Stegostoma tigrinum: one gene and its partner. The protein of the gene in region 1 interacts with the protein of each later gene in a pairwise test. Links are inferred from orthologs where the notes say so. Each region holds a gene or a part of one and is shown on either strand. Other genes may lie near its edges. The genes, in order: sh3d19 and sh3yl1.

Region 1 (7,704 bases):
ATCCATATGTTTATATAACCAATGAATTATTTAATTTGACATTACAGTAATGTATATAACTTTATTGCTGCTTATATCCATTTTGATAGCCTTTTTGAATATGACCAAAATACAAGTCTGTTGATAAACTATTAGCATCACTCCAGTGACTAGCGACTGTCTCATGATGCCTCCTTTCAAATTTCTAGCCAAATCAATCTGAGACAAATATATCACTTTTGTTGAAAGTATATTTCTGTAACACATTCTCCCTCCATTCAGCCTTACTCCATATTGACAAAATGCTGATCTATGTCTTTGTCACCTCCAGCTGTAATTTCTCCAAAGTTTTCCTGGTGAACTTCCAAGTACTAACCTTCATAAATTGCAACAAATATCTTGTCCAAGTGTGATTTTCTCTCAGTCCCCTTCTTGCCAATAATTACTGGCACCCTTTCAATTAACACATTAAAATTAACGTCTCAGACTGATGATATTTCCGAGGTTTCTGATTAAAGGACATTGACCTGAAACACACTGTTTCCCTCTCCATTGGTGCTGTTGGACCACAGAATATTTCCAGCATTTTCTGTTTAAATTTTAGATAATCAACATTTGCACTATTTTACTCCGGAACGCATCATGTTTTAGTACTAACAATCTACCCTGGATCTTGCTATTCCTGTCACTGCATTCGCATTCAATACAATGTGTCATTTGGTATGACCCCTTTGCACCCCTAACTCCTCATCATGCCTCTTCACTATATTTACCCCACATTCCAAAGTATGCCTCCCAAGTCCTCTCTTTTAAAACTTATTCCTCGAATCATTCATCACCGCATCTTTCTCTGGTGATGCTTATTTTCTGTTCTTTGCAACTTGTTGGATACATTAATGTATTGTAACTCCAAGAAGTTGTTATGAATTTAGCAGAACTTTGGTTACAAGTGCACAGTGTTCATTGAAAAAGCAACTTTTTTGTTTGTCCATGAATACACAGAAATGCAGCAACACTACTATCACTGGAAAAAAATGTTGACGTAATTTTTCTCCTGAGAACAAAAGATTGTCCCAGATTTTGTGGTCAGTAGCAAAGGAACGGCACTTACCGTTCACTGTGCTGACTGCTGTCCACAATGATTTTGCAGGCTTTAAAGTCATTAAGCATTTGATCCAATGTGACATCTTCTACCATGGAAGTGTGACATGTGTGAGCAGGGCACGGGATGTTAAAGTGTTGTCAATTTATTAGAATGAAGAGTTATCACTAAACTATGCAGACATTAAACCAGAAAATTAAATGTGGGAAGAAATGATGAAATCAATAGAGGGAAGTTTAATGACTGAACATAACAGTAAACAAAAATGAAATAAAAGATGCTGGTGATCTGAAATAGAATCAAGAAAGTGCAGGAGAAATTCAGTGGGTAGCATCTGTGGAGAGAGAAACAAAGTTAACATTTTGAATCTGGTATGACTGTACTTCATAATAAATTTCCAACATTTATTAAATTCTTAGAGAATGAAATTTCACACAAATAAAGTTTTCAGGGTAGGGAAGGCTGTTCAGAAGAAATAATGACTGATCACTGATGTCCCTGTCACCTTCCAATTCTGGCCTGTTACACAACCCAATTATCACTGCTCCACTTTTGGCAGTTACACTTTCAGCTTCGTTGGATCTCAATTCTAAAGTTTTTCCTAAACTTCCTCACTCGTTTCCTTTAACAAGTTCCTTGAAAGTTATGATCATCTGCCTTGATAATTCTGCTGATTGGAGTCATAACTAGAACAAAGGAAAATGGTTATTATTTTTGGAGGTCAGTCATCTCAGCTCCAGGACATTTCTGCAGGAGATCCCCAAGATCGTGTCCTAACTCTAACCATTTTCAGCTGCTTCATCAATGACTTTCCCTCCATCATTAAGTCAGAAGTAGGAAGCTCACTAATGAATGCACAATGTTCAGCATTATTTGCGATGCAATAGATTCAATAGACTTGGTCAACATCCAGACTTGCGATGACAATTGACAAGTAACATTTGTGCAAAACAATGTTAGGCATCACTAAATTCCCCACTATCAACATAAAGGGAAGTGCAGATGCTGGAGAATCCGAGATAACAAAGTGTGGAGCTGGATGAACACAGCAGGCCAAGCAGCATCTTAGGAACACAAAAGCTGACGTTTCAGGCCTTTTCTGATGAAGAGTCTGGGCCCGAAACGTCAGCTTTTGTGCTCCTAAGATGCTGCTTGGCCTGCTATGTTCATCCAGCTCCACACTTCGTTATCAACATCCTGGGGGTGTCTATTGACAAGCAACTAAACTGGGCTTGCCCTATAAATCTGTGGCTACAAAAGCAGGTCAGAAGCTAGGAATACTGTAATGGCTAACTTGTTTCCTGACTCCCCAGAGCCTGTACACTATTCACAAGGCACAAAGGGCAGCACGGTGGCTCAGTGGTTAGCACTGCTGCCTCACCATGCCAGGGACCTGGGTTTGATTCCTCCCTTGGGCAACTGTCTGTGTGGAGTTTGCACATTCTCCCCGTGTCTGCATGGGTTTCCTCCAGATGATCCGGTTTCCCTCGCAGTCCAAAGATGTGTAGGTTTGGTAGAATGGCCATGCTAAATTGCTTGTAGTGTGTTCAGGGCTGCGTAGATTAGATGGGTTATAGGGGAATGGGTCTGGGTGGGATGCTGTGTGAGTCAGTGTGGACTTATTGGGCTGAAGGGGTTGTTTTGACATTGTAGGGATTCTGTGAAATCAAGAGTGTGGTGGACAACTCCCCCACTTATAGTGCAACTTGTACAACACACAGGTTTGATATCATCAAGGTTAAACCACCTCAATTGATTCATTGGCACAACATCCACAAGCGTTGACTCCATCCACCATCCAATCATAGTAGCAGCAGTGTGTACCATGCACAAGATGCACTGCAGAAATTCACCAAAGATCCTTTGTCAGCACCTTTCAAACCCTTGGCAATTACTATCTGGAAGGGCAAGAGATACATTAGAGTGCCACCACCTGCAAGTTTCTCTCCAAACTTCTACTCATCCTGACTTGAAAATATTTAAGCATTCCTTCAGTGTTGCTGGGTTATAATACTGGAACTTCATCTCTAACAGCAAAGTGTGTGTACCCACACTGAAAAGACTGCAGGAGTTCAAAAAGGCACCTCATCACCACGTCCTCAAAGCAGTCAAGGACAGGCAATTAATATTGGCCAAGGCAGTGAATCCTACATTTTAATTTTTTTTCTATGGCTCAGTACAAAATTTGTTTTGTGAAGTAACTTTAGACATTTTATTACATTAAATATCATATCTAAATACAAGCTGTTGTTGCTGATGTTGAACACACACCAAGCATCAGTGGTTGAAACAAAGACCGTGCCAACATTTAAAGTTAGGTAGATGTTTGAACGTAAGAGGCATAATGAGATATGGGTACAAAACTGACACATGATTGGGAGTTTTTTTTTATATTATTCGTTTATGGTATGTGTTCTGGATCTTGCCACATATGGACATTCCTGGTTCAGGAGGCAGTGTGAACAGTGCTGATCATTCAGTTAACATCTTCACTTTTGATTTTATGGTGGAGGGAATGCCATTGCTGATGCAACTGAACATAATTGGGCCTCAGACATGACCATGAGGAGCTCCTGAAGTGGTGTCCTGAGGCTGAGATAGTTGACTACCAACAATAACCATAACCTTTCTGTACTAGGTATGACACCAAACAGTGTGGAGCTTTCCCCTGAATTCCAATTCACTCCAGTTTGTCAGGACCCTTTGCCGCCACACTCCGACAAATACTGACTTGATGACAAGGATAGTCTGTCTCTCACCTCACCTCTGGAATTTCGCACTTTTGTCCATGCTGGAACCACAGTTATAATGACATTCAGATCTGAACATTGGTGAATAGTTTGTTCCTTTGTAAATCCAACTTGCTGTCACTGTGATGACACCCTTTCCATCATGTTACTGATGAGGCAGTATTTGACCAAATTGGATTTGCCCTACTGTTTGTGTACAGGACATAATTGTGCATTTCTGGGTAGATGCCAGTGTTGTAATTGTACTGCAGCAACTGGGCTAGTGGTGCGGCGAGTTTGGGTGCACAAGTCTCCAGTACTATTGCAGCCAATGTTGTCAGGGTCCATAGTCTTTGCACCGTACTGTATTGGGTGTCTTCAATCTTTTTTCAATAAAGTGAATTCAGTTGGTTGAAGACCGAAACCTGCCAGGCTGTGAACCTCAGGATGAGGATGAGGCACAGCTCACTCACTGGGGCACAGATGGCTGAAAATGGATGTACACACTTCAGCACTGTCTTTTTCTGGAGACAGTTTATCTACTGCTTGCAAAACAGTTTATTCCTGCAAAGGTGTCACACAGCACAGCCCGCTGAGTCATTGTATCCACCAACAATTTACTTAATTCACAGGGAAACACTATTTTTTTTAAAAAAGGTGTGTTCAGGTCAGAATCAAAAGTAAATCTCTGCCAGCGATTTGGAAAAGTTACACAGTTGATTGTCACGTTTGGGGCTGGATGAAAATCAGCTCCAAGCGCTACCGCCACCTTTTGTTTTCGCTTAGCCACCGAGTTTCCTGTCGGCAGAGGAATATTTCGGAAGTTGCTGAAAAGGTAGCTACTTCCTTCGGTGTGGTGTTGAGGTGGTGGTTGTAGCTGCTGACTAGACTGGAAGCTGCGCGCTCTCTGTCTCTCAGTAATTGTGTTGTGTTGGCAGCGCTACCTCTGCTCTGCACACTAATATATTCCGTATGATGATGGCGGAAGCCTGGTTTGAGGAGGAAGAGGAGGAGGTGCGAGGGGCGATCGACAGGGACCCCAGCTCCAGACACAACTCCGCGGCTGCTGCTGGGCGGCTGGGCAGCTCGTCGGCAGGTAAAACAGGGAAGCCTCTCTATCGGTGCATGTCTCTCACTCTCTTCAAATTACCGCGAAATAAGAGTTTTACCAGATGTTATCTGTCAACTATTGAGTTTTTTTGTTGTTGGCTGGTTTTTAAAAGCTCCTGTCACTTTTCGTCATGCTTGATAATTCCATTTAAGCTTTTGGTAAATTTAAGGCTATGTTAATTATCGATGTTTTAAACGGTGGGAAAACGGGATTGTGTGTCATGTTCCAAATACATCAAAATCTCCCGATGTATTTTTTTCAGAACTAAACTAATTCCACGCCGACAGCTGTAGCCCTATTGACAAGTGGCGGGCACTTTGTGTCTTTCGCAGTGAAAGGGGAGTGTTAGGGAGGGATTACAACGCAGTACAACGAATTGAGTCATTGGGTTAAAAAAAAAACTGTAAAAAGATCATGGTGACTCATCAACAGTTTGTAACTCCCCTTTGATCCCGAGGTTCGGACTTCTCCTTTTGGGTTTATATCCATTGTTTTGTGTTAGTCGGCTGTTAACTGTGCGCAATCAGTTTTTTTTCGGACGGGCTGTGGTGATTGAGTAGGATTTATCAATTTTGAGGGATTCATTGTAGATCATTTCTGTTCAATACATGTCTACGTTCGGACTTGAACCCTGATCTTCTGGCTCATAGGGACAGTACCACTGTCCACGAGAGGTTCAATGTGGACTTACACAATCGGGGGTGATAGGCCAGTGCGCCGTATCTCCCGCCTCCCCACCCCAGTGGCCCTATATTTTCATAATACACTGACTTGCGTGAGCAATGTGTCTGCCAGTCCTTTGTCTACATTTCTATTCTTTGTGTTAGCCAGGATAGTGATTGAAAGCAGATAGGAAGACAAAACATAATTGTGCTCAATCTTGTCTGTGTACGTACAGTTCTGTGCAATTAAGCGACTGTATGGTTTTTTTAATCCAAAATTCATGGATAACTATCAGCCAACTCACCACTGTTGAACTGGGATTTTAACAGATGTGCATACATTCCAAATCACTTATATAACTGAATTGTACACTTTTTTCAGACACGTGCATTTACCTCAGTTCAAAAAAATCCAAAGTATTGGAAACAAAACAGCTCTTGAATTGTAGTCAGTTTGGCTGAGCCTTAGGAACTTCACCACCATAAAACTTTCCTGCATTTGAAAGTTCAGGACTGTGCAACAGTAGGAGCTTAACATACTTGTTAGTGAATCAGGAAAACCAGACTACTACACTCATTACATAAAGATGGTTTGCACCTTTCTGACTGTTAACTTTCTAAGAAAGATTATTCAAGGTCCACCCCAACTCTCCTAAGTGTCCCTGGAACATGATTATTTTGTCACCTGTGTTCCTCCTGCCCATCAACCAACTGGCCACTCTTCATGTGTACGGGTTGCATCTGCCAAAAGGACAAGATACAGACTTCAGTTGTCTCCTTAATGTACCTCCACAGAGTCGTAATTACCATTTGGGCCATTTTATAGAAATAGGAGCAGTAGTACAGGCAGATCTCCCATCGTTTTCTCCTCCCCTAATGCAGCAACATTGACCAATTGCAGTGCTCTACCTGTTGCTCTGAGAGTTACTGACATGAGGTCATATACTTCAACACCGGTAGGAACTAGTACAAAACCTCTCGAATTGCATTGCTCAGTACTTATACATTAATTTCAGATCATTAAGAGAGCTCTCCAAAGGAATTTATTTGTTATCCTTTACTATTCAACATAATCATGACTGATTATCTACTTCACTTCCACTTTCCAGTCCTTTGCCTGTCCCTTCATAGCCTTGGTATCAAAATAAATCAGACTGTATCCCAAATGTAATCAATGACTGAGCATCCAAACACCCTCTTGGGACAGATAATCCTAAAGAATCACAGTCTTTTGCAAGAAGAAGTGTAAAGAAGTTCAAAATGACTGATCTCTTAGACGGAAATCTTGACTCTTTTGTTCCCCTGACTGGGAGTAGAACTTTTTCCAAGCATCTATCCGATCAAATCCCTTAAGAATTTTATATGTTTAATTGAGATCACTGGTCATGCTTCCAAACCCCAGGGAATATAGACTTGGACTGTTCAGCTTTTCCTCATAGGACAATCTTCTCATCCTAGAAACCAGAAATTGAACTTTCATTGCATTCCCTCAGACAAATATATCCATCCTTCAATAAGAAGACTGAAACTGTGTGCTGTGATCTAGATGTGGTCTCATCAAGACTCTATGTAATTCAGTGTGACTTTTTCACAATTTTATTTTGTTATTGAATTAATAAGTGTAGTTAATGAATAATTATGAACCTTTCTGTCATCTAGCTTTTCTCATTTTATTATCCAGCTGAAATTTCTTTCATTCAACTAGATGACACATACAGATTTCCTCTGTTGTCTCTCATTTATGTTTCCCTAACAAGACCTATCAAAATGATGAAAAATAAATTGAAAGATGTTACATTTGCACTGATCCTTCTTAATGACCTGTATTATAAGAATAAGCTGCAAAGTTAACTTATGTTGAGATAAAGTTTCATAGGCACCATCCCTAAGCAAATATCAATAGGCTGATTAGTCAGAAGGAGCGTCCAAACTCTAATCTCATCTAGGTCATTAGATTCACTTTTCTTTGGAATTGGTGGAAGTAAGAGCAAAAAAGAGACCAGTTGTAGAACTGAAATTGGCAGAGATTTGTAATTAAACATAGAATTTCTGGTCTGAAGTAGGAAAAGAATCTCCTGGAAATATTCAGCAAGCCTTGTAGCATCTGTGGAGAGAGAAGCA
Region 2 (7,932 bases), on another chromosome or scaffold:
CTTTTGGAGGATTTCACAGTAAGGCACCAAGGAGATGAGAAACAAGAGGTGGCCAAGGCCGGATCCTTGGGGAGCAACAGAAGAATAGTATGGAAACAGCAAGAGAAGACATTGCTGGTGCTTCTCCTGGTGCTGGCTATAGGAGAAGTAGAGCAAAGGATATTAAAATTTTTACATAAGCTGTTAAAAGCAGCAACAGGTTTGATATGCTCATAAGGGGTGCGACATTCCATCATTTCTAGAGGTATTGAAAACAAATCTGAGAGGTAACCGGTGTACTGCAGGGGTCGATGTTGAGTCCATTGCTGTTCAGGTCATTTTTATAAATGACCTGGATGAGGGCGTAGAAGGATGGGTTAGTAAATTTGCAGGCAACACCAAGGTCGGTGGAGTTGTGGATAGTGAGAAGGATGTTGTAGGTTACAGAGAGACATAGATAAGCTGCAGAGCTGGGCTGAGAGGTGGCAAATGGAGATTAATGCGGACAAGTGAGAGGTGATGCACTTTGGTAGGAGTAACCGGAATGCAAAGTACTGGGTTAATGGTAAGATTCTTGGTAGTGCAGATGAGCAGCGAGATCTCGGTGTCCATGTACACAGATCCTTGAAAGGTGCCACCCAGGTTGATAGGGCTGTTAAGAAGGCATACAGTGTTTTAGCTTTTATTAATAGAGGGATCGAGTTCCGGAACCATGAGGCTATGCTGCAGCTGTACAAAACTCTGGTGCGGCCGCACTTGGAGTATTGCGTACAGTTCTGGTCACTGCATTATAAGAAGGATGTGGAAGCTTTGGAAGGGGTGCAGAGGAGATTTACAAGGATGTTGCCTGGTATGGAGGGAAGGTCTGACAAGGAAAGGCTGAGGGACTTGAGGCTGTTTTCGTTAGAGAGAGGAAGGTTGAGAGGTGACTTAATTGAGACATATAAAATAATCAGAGGGTTAGATAGGGTGGATAGGGAGAGCCTTTTTCCTAGGACGGTGATGGCCAGCATGAAGGGGCATAGCTTTAAATCGAGTGGTGAAAGATATAGGACAGATGTCAGAGGTAGTTTCTTTACTCAGAGTAGTAAGGGAATGGAACGCTTTGCCTGCAACGGTAGTAGATTCGCCAACTTCAAGTACATTTAAGTCGTCATTGGACAAGCATATGGACGTACATGGAATAGTGTAGGTTAGATGGGCTTCAGCTTGGTATAACAGGTCGGCACAACATCGAGGCCCAAAGGGCCTGTACTGTGCTGTAATGTTTTATGTTCTATGTAATGCAAAGTTCTGATCTATATAATTAAAAAGAGGAGCAATTGCAGAAAATACTTACAAGGATATCGCCAGAACTGTAAGTTACAAATTGGATTGAAAGGTTAGGTCTCTTTTTGCTGGGACAAAGACTAAGAGATGCATGAAAAGACATCATACTCATTAAAGTTTTCAATGGAGTAAATGTGAAGAATCTCTTTCAAAATGTAGATTAGTCCAGAAAAAGTGTTTTTATTAATGTTTAGTGACCATTTATTAAGTGAAGAATTTCTTTCCATAGAGAATGTTGAGGACTTGGAACTCTGTGCCACACGGGATGGTTGATATCATTGACACATTTAAGAGAATGGTCAATGTGGACATGAGAAAAGAATCAAATTGATGGACAGTGGGAATGGTAGGAATGAAGAATGAAAGCAATTTTGTGTACATTAAGTAGTGACATTAACCATTTGAACTAAATTGTTGGTATGCGCTATAGATTCAATGTAAGAAAGTCCTCTTGGGTAAATACATAATGAGCCAGAAGGACTAGGTAAGTCCCACCTGCACCACAGGTGTGACATAACACTTCTGGACAGACTGCTTAAAAATATAACATGTAAAGTATGTACTTGCTGCATTTAGGTTAAATTTTCCACTGCATTGTGACCAGTGATAGTACAAACAATTAAGTGCAAACTTGAAATCTTATACAATTTTTCAGTACAGAATCAAATCAGAAATCCTGAGTGTGTCCATTGCTAATAATTACACTAGTGCAGATTCAGCACAAGGACAACAAGGAAATTGATATCAAGCATATTCAAAACATAGATACAAATTGTGAAGCTGGATGAACACAGCAGCCCAAGCAGCATCTCAGGAGCATGAAAGCTGATGTTTCAGGCCTAGACCCTTCATCAGAGAGGACGATGAAGGGTCTAGGCCCGAAACGTCAGCTTTTGTGCTCCAAGATGCTGCTTGGCCTGCTGTGTTCATCCAGCTTTACACTTTGTTATCTTGGATTCTCCAGCATCTGCAGTTCCCATTATCTCTCTCCCCCATATTCAAAACATAGCTGGTTTATGCTTTGATTTATACACTTACGAATTATTTATTTAGAATTTTAATAACTAAGATTTTTTGAAAAAGCGAGTAGGGCTTACTTTGTTTGTAATGCCTCGATCCGTTACCAGTTTCCTGAAGATAGCTTCTGCAATTGGAGATCGGCAAATGTTGCCTTAAAAAAATTCAAAAACATGATCGCGTGAGTTTTTTCTAAAGTTTTATAGCAGGTTTATCATAGTTAAAGTATATAAAATTCCTGTACTTGATAGAAGCTAAACAGAAGTATGATTTATATGCAAATTTGATTTCCATACACCTCCAGTTTGTATACACAATTAAAATATTTACAGAAAAAGTTTCTCAACAGAAGTGAACTTAGGAAGTATTAGTTCTTGCAGAAAAAATTATTTAATCAGCCCTGTAATTTCAATCACACCAAAATCTCCTATTTAAGAGACAATATCATTTGTTTTTTTTGAACAAGTCTACCTCAGATAACACCAATAGTGGTTTACACTTCAATCTATATTCATATGTTACTGACTCGACATATGTCTAGGGACCTTGTGCTATATATAGATCATTAAGTGACAGGTCATAAGAATGACATGCAACTTGGTTCCACAGACCTGCTCCTGACAGTCTATCAGACCACTATTGATTGTACCTTTGATTTCTCTCCTTTGATAGTCTTATCTAATATTCTGATTAGCCTTGTCTGGATCTAAAGGGTTCCTCAATTCAGTCATCTTAGGGGGATATGAAAAATGAATGCACAATTTAACATAAATTGCTTCATCAGTGGTCTATAATGCAGGAGGAATGACGACCAGAGAAAACAGAAAGGCCAAAGACGATGTGAAGAGATTCTTTTTAACATACTAAGATGTGGAATAGATTGCCTCAAAAGGCTGTGTTATTCAAAACTGAAAAGCCAAGTTTAAATAAAATGAAATAAATATATTCTTCAAAATAAATTTGCAGGGTCTAGGACAGTACATTGTATTTTTATATCATCTCTGACATATTAAATCATCTGTGGCACTTTACAGGTATGTCATCAAATAAAGCCTTATGCAGATTGGTGTCAAACCTTATCACGAGCAAGTGACTAAAACTTTGGTCAAAGTAGTAGATTTTTATAAGCAATTTACTTGGAGAAATCAGAGGCAGTATAGGGAGGGAATGCCAAGGCATTGAACCTTAACAGTGGAAGGTGAATCATTAAGGGAGCAAAAACATCCAGGCATATTCAGGTTTCTGGAATTAGAAAAGTACAACTACCCTAAAGGATTGAGATGCTGGAGGTAACAAATGTAAGGAGTGACCCATGAATTTAAAAACAAGATGAATTTGAAAACCGACATGTTGCTAAACAGGGAGCCAACAACTGGCAGCCAAGCTCAGGGGGCCAATTGGATTACCGTGCATCAGGACACACACGTCTGAACTTTGGAGGATCTCAGTTTAGATCGGGTAGATTGTGGGAGACCAGCCAGAAGTGTACTGGAATAATCATGTCTAGAAATGACCAATAGTATGAATGAGAGTTTCAGTAGCACAGTCAAGGTCAAAACTCGGCAATTTTATGACCATGGGGCAGGTTGTACATACTGAAGAACTGGAGAGGTGGCCTAACTGGATATCTGTAGAGCAAAGGTACGGTGGCGTTCTTTGAATTGACTAACCCAGCACCCCAGGCAAATGCTCCGTGGAGGGGAGAATTTGAGTTCCACCAGATAAACTTAATAGCTAGTCTAACGGTGGCCATTGTTGGTTGGCCCTCTGGTTTAAGCAATAACCTTCAGGGAAGGAAATCTGCCACCAGCACCTGCTCTGGCCTAACCGCATGACTCCAGACCTGCAGCACTGCGAATGACTTTTAAATGGCCCTTGGCCTAGCCAGGGACGTCGACATCCCATGAAGAAATGGACCGAACGATTACCCTCGCACACGGCCCCTCCAACAATCCTCCGCTGCTGGGTGGCGGCTGGAGCTGAGAGACGTTTAGGTGCGCGCACGGACCGGCAGCCGTTACCCCCGCCCCCGTTTGTTCGTTCATTCATTCATTCATTCTCACTCACTCACCCAAACAGACAAACAGAACCGACTTCTGCCCGGCCGCCATCTTCACCGGGTCCTGCCAAGAGACCGCGTCACTCGCCTCCGTCTACTCTTCTGCCTGCTCCGCGCAATCTCCTGGGACCCGCTCGCTGGAAATCAACGCGCGCAGCGGCTTGCCCCGATTCCTCCGTACCGTCATTTTTTTTTTCTTAAAAAAACCGTACTAGCATCAGCCGTTTTAAGATCTAGGCGGGTTGGTGGAAAGCGTCCTAAATCCTCGGCGCGTCCTCGGACAGCTCCTAAGCAGGGGTCCTTGAGGACCTGTGGGTGGTGCCCAGGTGTAGTTAGCACAGGTAAACCCAGCAAGTGAGTTTGGGCTGGTACTCCAATAGTCTGCATTTAAACGTTTTAGAAGAGCATTATTTGTAAAAGTAAGTTTTCCTTTTGCCTTTTATTGTGTAGATTGGTACACGTTTTGGGAAAAATCCTTTGGGAGGTATTTCCTGAAGTGTAATATTTGTGGTGAAACACGTATTTTTGAGTTATGGACACAGTTTAGACGGACATTCAGCACATTCGTTCCACTGAATCGTAGAAGCATTAAAGGATGTAGTTCACCTCATTGTGTCCTATTCTCGTGCTCTCTCCTATTGCCCTTCTTCCGCATGATTACACTTTTTCTACTATTTAACTTTCAAAACATTTTTAGATATCAAATTTGCTTACTCCGCCCTTTGGGCATTGCATTCCAAATCCTAAATCACTTATTCCAGCATTTTATCCTGTCATCTCGCTCTTGGTCCCTTTGCTGGTTAACTTAAGTCTCTGTCCTTTGATTCCTGACCCTTCATGGTAGAAACTTTTTCAGTTGATTACTCTATCAGTAACCTTAATGATTAAAAATACTCGATTAAACGTTCCCAACATTGAGGAGAAGTACTCAATGTCTCTAATCTCTCTCTATGAAAACTTTTATACCTGATTTTATCTCTGTAAATTTCCTCTAACTTATCCAAGCCTTGAATTCTTTTCTGAAATGTTGTTGCCAGAATTAGCACTGTAGTTTGGCTGAATCCTAACCTGTGATTTCTGAATGTTGAACATAATTCCTTTGCATTCATACTTTATTCAATATGTTCCATTTTATAAAGTGTTTTGAAAACAATATTTATGACTTGCATATATACAGCCAGGCTTAGACACTCAATTCTCTTTAAAATTGAACTGTTTAGATTGTTTTGCATCCCTCATACTGAAATTAACATTATTTATTAATTTCTGCATGTTAATCACAACAAAACCAATGCATTTCTGATCCATGTCAGCCAGAAGATGATTGAAAATAAAATCAACAACAAATGATTGTAATCATATGTTTCTTGTTCATTTTGATGCATAAATAGAAGCAGAAACAAAAAAAAGGTAAAGCAGATTTGTTAAAAGTTGATGTAAACATTGTCATGTAAGTAATTAGGTCATTAAAAACAATAAAGTAAATGCTATTATAAATGTGTTTTCCAGTAGTGATACTGTGAATTGTAAGCACTTGAAAATAGCAAAATTCAAAGCAATAAATGTGAGAATATAATATAACTTATCGGCAAGGAAAAAATGGATAAAGTGACATTGGGAAATTGTTGAACGGAGGAATATTTGTTGTTGAGGGAATTTCTGATTTTGGGGCCACTGTGTTAATTATGGACACACTTTGGGTATGGTGAAATAATTAATTTTGAACTTGAAAATATGCTAGCCCTGCTGTTAGAATTGAAGGAAGGGTGCTTGTAAAATCCAGGAGATGACCTTCCCGCCACCTATTCATTCGTCTCCACCCTCTGTGAAATGTTATGGGAGGAATGGGAGAGGCATACTTAACAAACCCCCAGCCTTGACATCCCAATTACACCATAAGGCACAGCAGCAGAAGTAGGCCATTCAGCCCATCGAGTCTGTTACACCGTTCAATGAGATCATGGCTGATAATTCTCAACTCCATTTTTCTGTCTTTTCCATACAAATGTTGATTTCCTTAATGATTAAAAGTCTGTTTCAACTTTGAATTTACAACAGGTGAACTATCCTTCTTGGGGCTTATTGATGCCCTTGCATGGCCAATTAATGGTATTTGTGTATTTTACACCTGGTGACCATGGGCATATGGTCCTACTTTGTGGATCCTCTGTGCCCATCTGATGCCCACCCTGAAAGTTTAACTATTCTAGTGGGGACTTGGATATGGAATCTTGTAGTGGTAGATGGTGGTATTTGAATTCAATTCAAGAGAAAATCTGGAATTAATGATCCCATGATAAGAATAGAACCAATGTCAATTCTTGTCTGGTTCACAAGTTCTCGGGGGAACATAATTGCTGTCCTTAGAGACAAAACACTGCAGATGCTGGAATCCAATGTAGACCTATGGGAGGCTGGAAGAACACAGCAAGCCAGGCAGCATCTGGAGGGAAGGAACAATCAATGTTTTGGGTATTACTCTTCTTCAGAACTGAATGTAGGGGTACGGCAAGCTGCAGATAAAGAAGGGGGAAGAGGTGGAAGTGGGATGGTGGCAGTAGTTGGACACTGTAGTGGGTATGACCTGGTTGGTCGATAGGAGGGATGAATTTGGTTGGTGGCTGGAAGGGAGGATCAGAAGGTGGGGTGGAATGGAAGGGAGGAGGTGGGGCTGAAAACAGAGAGGGGGGGAAAAGAATGGGAAGGTTATTTGAAATTGGAGAACTCACTGTTGAGTCTTCCAGGCTGTAGGGTGCTCAGGCAGAAGACAAGGTGGTCTTCTTCAAATTTGTGTTCTAAGTTACTGCGACACTGGAGGAAGCCGAGGATGGACATGTCAGAAGGGGAGTGTGGCGGGGAGTTGAAATGGGAAGTTAGGTTGGCCATTACACTCCAGGTGGAAGCTTGGCAAAATGGTCACCTCGTCTATGTTTGGTCTCACTGAAGTGGAGAAGCCCACGTCGGGAGCACCAGATGCAATAACTAGGTTGGAGAAGACGCAGGTAAAGCTCCGACTCATTTGGAAGGACTGTTTAGGGCCCTGAATGGAGGTGAGGGAGGTGGTGTGTGGACAGGTGCTGCATCTTTTACTGTTACAGGGGAAGATATCAGGTGAGTTGAAGTGGTTGGTGAGGAGTATGGTCTGAGGTGAGGAGTGATGAAGGAAATGGTCCATGTGCAGGGCGGAGAGTAGTGGGGAGTGGAAGATGTTCTGGGTGGTAAGGTCTAATTGGAGTTAGCAGAAGTGTTTAAGGATGAGACGTTGGACGTTGTTGCTGGTGGGGTGGACAGAGAGCTCGGACTAGGTACTTGTACTAAACAACAAACGCTATTTTTTACAAATAATTAGATTCTAGCTACAGGTAAACAATACTGAAACATTGTCATATATTTTTACTAATTAAAAGTGGATTTGCAGTTTAGTGGTTTCTGTTCACAAAGTTGCTGAGATGATTCTTGTGTTTTTTTAAACACAATAATATATCACGGTCTTCCTTCACTGGAACTTCTGTCAGTTTGCAGGAGGCACAGAATGGCTGATTCACTTT

The links.
Region 2: the proteins of sh3d19 (region 1) and sh3yl1 interact in binary tests that used the Homo sapiens proteins (3 or more experiments, as listed by UniProt). The link is inferred for Stegostoma tigrinum from reciprocal best matches to the Homo sapiens genes SH3D19 and SH3YL1.

The regions. Positions count from the first base shown.
Region 1 is NC_081354.1:51,437,724-51,445,427, reverse strand, and holds the start of sh3d19 (SH3 domain-containing protein 19), read left to right. Parts: upstream 1-4,652; 5' UTR 4,653-4,782; coding exon 4,783-4,906; intron 4,907-7,704. UniProt on the Homo sapiens protein: May play a role in regulating A disintegrin and metalloproteases (ADAMs) in the signaling of EGFR-ligand shedding. May be involved in suppression of Ras-induced cellular transformation and Ras-mediated activation of ELK1.
Region 2 is NC_081357.1:108,024,098-108,032,029, reverse strand, and holds the start of sh3yl1 (SH3 domain-containing YSC84-like protein 1), read left to right. Parts: upstream 1-4,686; 5' UTR 4,687-4,802; coding exon 4,803-4,803; intron 4,804-7,932. Other genes in the region: acp1 (low molecular weight phosphotyrosine protein phosphatase), read right to left, coding at 2,406-2,479, 4,254-4,374.